2 linked regions of the Callithrix jacchus genome follow. Each later gene encodes a partner of the first gene's protein in a complex. Links are inferred from orthologs where the notes say so. Each region holds a gene or a part of one and is shown in the gene's direction. Other genes may lie near its edges. The genes, in order: UPF2 and UPF1.

Region 1 (4,270 bases):
CTGGATATTAGGAACAATATCACAGGACCGGCATACAGCCCCAGTCACATCGTGAGTAATGTCATCTGTAATCCCCTAGGTATTAGAAACAATATCACAGGGGGCTTGTGTGCTTTCTGAGATATTTGGAGTAATATTCTCTCCGTTTTTGAATATTAGAAACAATACTACAGTGGTGGTGTACACTTCCTGCGATATTCAGGGTATGGTCATCCTTTGTCCCTCGGATATGATTAACTACATCACAGAAGCATTTTACTTTGCCTGTGATATTGGAACAATCACAGAGTGTACACTTGCTTTCACAATGAGAGTAATACCTACTTAGGATATGATGGATAATATCACAAAATGGACACACATGGGTGTATACCCATTTTGATATTAGGAGTGATTTTTTTCTAATATACTAAAAATAATATCCTGGAATATACTTATAATGTGTATGTTTTTTGGAATATTACAATAAATGTATATTGTATGTACCATATGTACATTTACTGTGATGTACAATGTGTACAAAATACCTATACACAATAAATTTACATAATCTGTACAATATGTACATTTATATGTACATAATGTGTATGATATGTACATTTATTTTAATGTCACAATGATACCATATATGAAATCACAAAAAATATATATATAATACGTAGTATCACAGTAAATGTACAGATTGTACACATTATGTACATATAATTTATTTTGGCATTTCAATATGTAAACGTACATAATGTACACAGTATCTACATATGTACTATATAGACACGTGTACATATGTGTGCACATTGTGTACATTATGTACAGATGTATCATATATACACGTGTACATAATGTGCACATTATGTAGAGATGTACATTATGTACACGTATACATAATATACACAGTATATTCACGTATGCATAATGTACAGACTATGTACAGATGTACCATATATACACGTGTACATAATGTGCACATTATGTAGAGACATACAGCATGTGCACATTTGCATGATGTTTACATTAGGTACAGATATACAGTATGTGCACATGTACGTGTAGTTGCACACTGTGTACATGTAGGTGCACCTTATGTGCATATGCACAGCCCCCCAGCCCAGTGAGCAAGAGGACGCTGCATTGTCCTAGTTGCCAGCAGGGGGCATCTTGCCACTGCAGTGTGAGCAAGAGGGCCCTGCAGTAGTCCTCCACCAGGAGGGGGCACCCAAGCCCGCCGTTTCAGATTCCTGAGGCTCCGCCGCAGATGTGCGTCCGGTCACAGTGCCGCCCTTTGTCGCGTCACAGCGGTCTGCAGAGTTGCGTTCTCCTTAGTGTAGATCTGGGGGCGCTTCGAGGATGGAGCTGCCTCCTGTTCAGCACAGACCTTGGGGCTTGTGTCTTACTGGGAGAGGGCCTTGCAGTGGCCCTAGTCGCCAGAAGAGGGCGGGGGCACATCACCGGGAGCAAGAGGGCACTGCACTGCCCATCCGCCAGCAGGGGGCGCCCGAGCCCGCCTTTTCAGACGGTGTCACGGTACCAGCGTGCATTGCATCTCGGCGGTCTGCAGAGTTTCATTGTCCCATTGCAGACCTGGGGGACACTGCGAGGATGGAGCTGTGTTCTCCACAGCATAGACCTAGTGGGCAAAGCCTCACTTTGGGACAAGTCTAGGCCGTGTCCACAGTGAGTAAAATCTTTCCTGTTTGCACTAGTAAGATCTCGGTGTGGAAACCTGGACCCCAAAAACCCCTCTGAATCCTGAGCACCGAGGTTCTCCCAAGCCAAGGCCACGCGGCTGCAGTGCGAGGTGCACACCGCAGCCTCAGAATACAAATGGAGCGTTCCTAAGGCAGATATGACATCCGAAATGCCAATACAACACCCGCAGCGCTCATGTAGAAAACAGCTGTGATGCTCATGCAGGGCCTCAGTCCACAATGTTACTATATAATCCGCACTGCCCATGCGGCCGGGCCCATACAGCAGTCTGAATTGTCAACACTGACTTGTCAGTGCAAACGCAGAAACTAACGTATGGTTAGGGCTTAGGGTGAGGATCAGGGCTAGGGGTTAGGGTTAGAGTTGGGGGTTACCGGTTATGTGTTAGGATTTAGGGGCTAGAAGAATTTTAGGCAAAATAAACAGTTTATTTAAGCAAAGGAATGATTCGTGAATCACACCTGAAGCACCAGAACACAAAGCAGGGCTTGGGGCTTCGAGCTCTTAGCGGTGGCAGCTAAGTGAGGTTTCTCCTTGGCTCCAGCTAGGCGACCACCTGTTGGTGGGATGCTTCCCTCAGCGTCCTTAATCATACAGCCAGCTGGCGGCTGGGCTTATTGTCATTCACTGGGTGGTTTGCTAATGTTTTGAAGTCAGTTTTAATGCCTCCAATTCGGTTTCTGTTTGCTTTGCAATACCTCAGGCTAACGGCTTCCTCCTGTTTTGCTTTAACATGTCAAAACCATACTTCATTTTCATTTTACTTTACTGGCATTAATAGAAGTAAATTCACATTTATGTTGTTCAGAAAGTCAGTTTAATTGGCAACCTATTTGTGATGGTGCGTAAAATAATGTCTGTTCATCATTAGCATCTTAGGTTAGATGAAATATGTTAACTCTATTAAGCTTTTTTATTAAACCATAACGGGAGTTGAGTTTCTTTTTCTTTTTTTTTTTTTTTTTCTCTCTTAGGCTTTAATCATTTAAAATACACTCAAGCATCTCCTAATGATGTGAATTCTTTCTGAGAAATTTGTCCTTGGTGATTTCATTCTTGTCCGAACACCATAGAGTGTCCTTTAAAATCATAGCTGGTGTAGCCCACTCCACACATAAGTTATATGGTGTCGCCTATTGCTCCCATGCTACAAACCTGTATGGCATATCTCTGTACTGAATGCTGTAGTCAACTGTCACACCATGGCGACTGCAGATTGTGATCCCAAAATACGTGAGTCAGGTCTCAGCCAATTTAGAACGCTTCTTTTGCCAAGGTTAAGGACATGCCCATGACACAGCCTCAGGAGATCCTGACAACATGGGCCCGAGGTGGTCAGGGTAAAGCTTGCTTTTATACATTTTAGAGAGACAGGAGACACCAATCAATGTGTGTAAGATGTACAGTCTTTTGGTTCAGTAAGGTGGAACAACCGGAAGTAGGAAGTGGGGGTGCTTCTGGGTCAGAGGTAGATAAAACAAAAGGTTGCATCCTTTTGAATCCTTGATCAGCCTTCCACTGAATACAATTTAGTCTGGTTCAGTGAATCTGCATTTTCACATATACAGTAGGGCAGAGGAATGGTGTGATCTTGGCCCACCACAACCTCTGCCTCCCAGGTTCGAGCGATTGTCTTTCCTCAGCCTCCCGAGCAGCTGGGATCACAGGCATGCACCACCATGCCTGGGTAACTTTTATATTTTTAGTAGAGATGGGCATCCACCATGGCTTTTGCTGTGGTTATCTGTTCAGATATTTATCCAGTTTTAAAATCACATATGTATTGTGTAAAATCTTCTCACGTCTGTCTTGTCTTTTTGTTTTATCTACAGTTTTTCACAGTAGAATATGTAGTTTTATAAAGTCTGTTATCAATATTTTCGTGAATTGGCATTTGATGTTGTGTATTAAAACTCAACACCGGCCAGGCACGGTGGCTCAAGCCTGTAATCCCAGCACTTGGGGAGGCCGGGGTGGATCACGAGGTTAAGAGATCGAGACCATCCAGGTCAACATGGTGAAACCCCGTCTCTACTAATTAAAAAAAATAAACAATAAATTAAAAAAAAAAAAAAAAACTCAACACCAAACCCAATGTCATCTAGATTTTCTTTTAGATTTTTTATAGTTTTGTATTTCATATTACAGTCTCTGGACTATTTTGAGTAGGTTTTTGTTTTTCTTATTTCGTGTATATAGTCATTTCATTCTACATGGCTTCCAAAGTCTTCTGTCACCATTTTTGGGAAGAATATGGCTACAGTGGGCTTCATTTTGGCTTGAGTTTCCAAAATTATTACATTGAAGAAACTGAATATTGAATTTTGTAGGTATTTCAGGACAGCCAGGTGGGGGTGCACATCTGCTGAGAAACTGAGCAAGAGTGTCTGGGCTGAGCTCTGGTGCCACCAAAGGGTATGTGAACTCACTCCTGACCAACTTCCCTCTGAGGTGCCAGGGCAGCACGAGGGTTGTGTCAACTAAGTCTTCTTCATTAATGAGTAAAAAGCTTCCTTTTCACAGCTGTGAGTGCAGAGAAGAGAGTCTTTAGAGTACTCAGCAA
Region 2 (3,024 bases), on another chromosome or scaffold:
TTGTTAATACCCCCGCATGGTCGATACCCCCCCATTGCCTCTTTTTAAGATGCCTTCTTGTCTGGTGGGCAGTATCGGGTGGGTCCCCCCCATAGCTGTGTGAGGTGGGCCAGAGGAGCTGGGTATCGAGTCTGCCCCACCCCACCGGGGGCTTTGTGGGACTGCCTGTGCCCAGTGCCTGGAAGGCCAACTCTTGACAGCAGACCCTGTCTCCAAGCGTATCCACCCAGCTTGGTGTCTGCCATGGGGCTGCTTAAGAGTTGGCCACAAAATCACCCCATGTGTAAGATCAGTGGCTTGGCATTAGACTCTAGGGCCCGTCCCTGTGGCCAACAGCCTGCCCGCCACCTCAGCTCACCCATTCCATGCCTCTGTTGCCTTGAATTTGGGTTCTGAGCGAGTGCAGCCTTGCCTCTTGGACCATCCTGTGAGACGGGCAGCTCTCCACGTGCGTCCTCAGCACCGCACCCCTGCCGCAGGTATGGCGTCATCATTGTGGGCAACCCAAAGGCGCTGTCGAAGCAGCCGCTCTGGAACCACTTGCTGAACTACTACAAGGAGCAGAAGGTGCTGGTGGAGGGGCCGCTCAACAACCTGCGCGAGAGCCTCATGCAGTTCAGCAAGCCACGCAAGCTGGTCAACACCATCAACCCGGTGAGTGCCCACAGGGCAGCGGGGGCATGGAGAAACCCGGGCCCAAAACACTGCTGGGAAGGTGGTACAGGGGTCCACGGTGCCCGTGAGCTGAGGGCGGGCAGCCCACCCGTCTCCCGAGCTGTGTGTGGCATGTTTGGTTCAGGGCTGCTAGGTCCTGAGAGGCTTCTGAAATTGGGCTCTGGCTGCTGTGCTGCAGCAGCCTGGGACCTCGGACATGGTCTGCGAGCCTGGGGTGCTCTGGTGATGAGGGGTGTGAAGCTGCCTCAGCCGAGTCCCAGGGGTCAGCGTCAGAGCCCAGGTTGGGCTGACAGGGCAGGCCCAGAGCCCATGAGACAGCAGCTCCCTCCTGCCCCCAGAGAGAGCCCCTAGCACAGTGTCAGCACCCACAGCGGCACACCTGCCCCTCCCAGGCCACTGGTTGGTGGGAAGTCGTTCTTTGTGTTGAGATGACAAATTCCTCACCTATCTAAACCTTCGCAGGGGGCCCGCTTCATGACCACAGCCATGTATGATGCCCGGGAGGCCATCATCCCCGGCTCCGTCTATGATCGGAGCAGCCAGGGTGAGTCACTCAGCAGGAGACCCAGCCGGCCCCTTTGTCCCCACACTGGGATGCTAGCTGTTCCCACAGCTGCAGCTTTGGGTGTCCCCCTTTCCTCCCCGTCGAGGGCAGGGCCTGGCTCCCTTGGCCTCCCAGCGTTTGTCTTTAGCCGGAGTCCATTCATTAGTGTTTACTGGTGATCAAGCTAGTTAGCTTTTTCTTGCTTTTTGGTGGTGGTAGGGTAGGGGCTGCATGTAGTACAAATAGAACATTTTTATTAAAAGGATTTTTTTTTTTTTTTGTAAATGGAGGGAGCTTTTCATATATTTTTTTGTTTAGAGACAGGGAGGGTCTCACTATGTTGTCCAGGCTGGTCTTGAACTCCTGGCTCAAGCTGTCCTTGCGTCTCAGCCTCCCACAGTGCTGGGATTATAGGCGTGACTCACTGTGCCCGGCCAATTTTCAGGGGTTTGTTGTTTGTTTTTCAGACAGTCTCTCTGTCACCCAAGCTGGAGTACAGTGGTGCAGTCTTGGCTCATTGCAACCTCCACCTCCTGGGTTCCATCAGTTCTCCCGCCTCAGCCTCCCAAGTAGCTGGGATTACAGGCACCTGCCACAACGCCCAGCTAATTTTTGTATTTTTAGTAGAGACAGGGTTTCACCATGTTGACCAGGCTGTCTTGAACTCCTGATCTCAGGTGATCTACCTGCCTTGGCCTCCCAAAGTGCTGGGATTAACAGGCATGAGCTACTGCACCCAGTCCCAATTTTCAGTTTTTAAGATCTGTGTAGGCCAGTGATTCCCAGCAGACTCTCCTAGGGGAAGGTGCCGGCCCAGGCATCCAGCCCCAGGCAGGCTGCTGTAGTCAACATGGAGTCCTGGGAATCTGCATCTTCAGCCTGGGCAGGGCCAGCACATGTGTAGCTCCGGCTGACTGGCTGGTGGGGTGGGTGGCGACATCGCTGGGGTTTGACCGAGGCAAGTGACGCCTTACTGTGATTTTCAGGCCGGCCCTCTAGCATGTACTTCCAGACCCACGACCAGATCGGCATGATCAGTGCTGGCCCCAGCCACGTGGCCGCCATGAACATTCCCATCCCCTTCAACCTGGTCATGCCGCCCATGCCGCCACCTGGCTATTTCGGACAAGCCAACGGGCCAGCTGCAGGTGAGCACCTGTAGCCAGGGCTGGGTGTGGCCCTTCTGAGAGCTCCTGAGGGTGTGCGTATCTTCCAGGCCCTGGCCTCCTCATCACCCTGGACTGCTGTCTTTCAGGCCGAGGCACCCCGAAAGGCAAGACTGGTCGTGGGGGACGCCAGAAGAACCGCTTTGGGCTTCCTGGGCCCAGCCAGACCAACCTCCCCAACAGTCAAGCCAGCCAGGATGTGGCGTCACAGCCCTTCTCGCAGGGCGCCCTGACACAGGGCTACATCTCCATGAGCCAGCCCTCCCAGATGAGCCAGCCCGGCCTGTCCCAGCCGGAGCTGTCCCAGGTGAGGCCGCCCCACGCAGAGCCCTCTCGGAGCCCTCCGAGGGGACCTGTGGGAATGAGGGTGGGGCTGTGCACCTGGAACATTTCCCCTGGAGAGCCGGTCTGGCCTGTGTACCCTGTGTGGGTTACCTGTCCCTGAGCTGGGGTCAGCGGAGTGGGTCTCTGGCTGTTAGTTTGGGGACAGCTTTTCCATTCTCTTGGGCTGCTGAGGGCTGGATGGACGTGAGCGCCCTTGGCTGGTGGCTTGCTCACCTCCCCACCTTGTCTTTCAGGACAGTTACCTTGGCGACGAGTTTAAATCACAGATTGACGTGGCGCTCTCACAGGACTCCA

The links.
Region 2: the proteins of UPF2 (region 1) and UPF1 are in contact, whole or in part, in a crystal structure (PDB 2WJV), measured with the Homo sapiens proteins. The link is inferred for Callithrix jacchus from reciprocal best matches to the Homo sapiens genes UPF2 and UPF1. Residues at the interface, in NP_056357.1 of Homo sapiens: Val1105, Cys1107, Glu1109, Asp1110, Phe1113, Ile1114, Ala1116, Leu1117, Met1120, Met1121, Asn1124, Leu1125, Arg1128, Met1169, Pro1170, Phe1171, Val1172, Met1173, Leu1174, Thr1175, Gln1181, Lys1184, Leu1186, Asn1187, Val1188, Pro1189, Ser1192, Gln1193, Leu1194, Asn1197; in NP_001284478.1 of Homo sapiens: Asn150, Thr151, Ser152, Gly153, Val157, Asn158, Leu160, Val161, Arg162, Lys164, Lys166, Pro175, Leu176, Gly177, Thr179, Tyr184, Cys188, Asn190, Val191, Phe192, Leu193, Phe196, Pro198, Asp202, Ser203, Val204, Val205, Val206, Leu207, Cys209.

What each region holds. Positions count from the first base shown.
Region 1 is NC_133508.1:2,073,148-2,077,417, forward strand, and holds the start of UPF2 (regulator of nonsense transcripts 2), read left to right. Parts: upstream 1-1,281; 5' UTR 1,282-1,671; intron 1,672-4,270. UniProt on the Homo sapiens protein: Involved in nonsense-mediated decay (NMD) of mRNAs containing premature stop codons by associating with the nuclear exon junction complex (EJC).
Region 2 is NC_133523.1:17,563,367-17,566,390, forward strand, and holds part of UPF1 (regulator of nonsense transcripts 1), read left to right. Parts: intron 1-479; coding exon 480-654; intron 655-1,137; coding exon 1,138-1,219; intron 1,220-2,205; coding exon 2,206-2,367; intron 2,368-2,474; coding exon 2,475-2,692; intron 2,693-2,963; coding exon 2,964-3,024. UniProt on the Homo sapiens protein: RNA-dependent helicase required for nonsense-mediated decay (NMD) of aberrant mRNAs containing premature stop codons and modulates the expression level of normal mRNAs.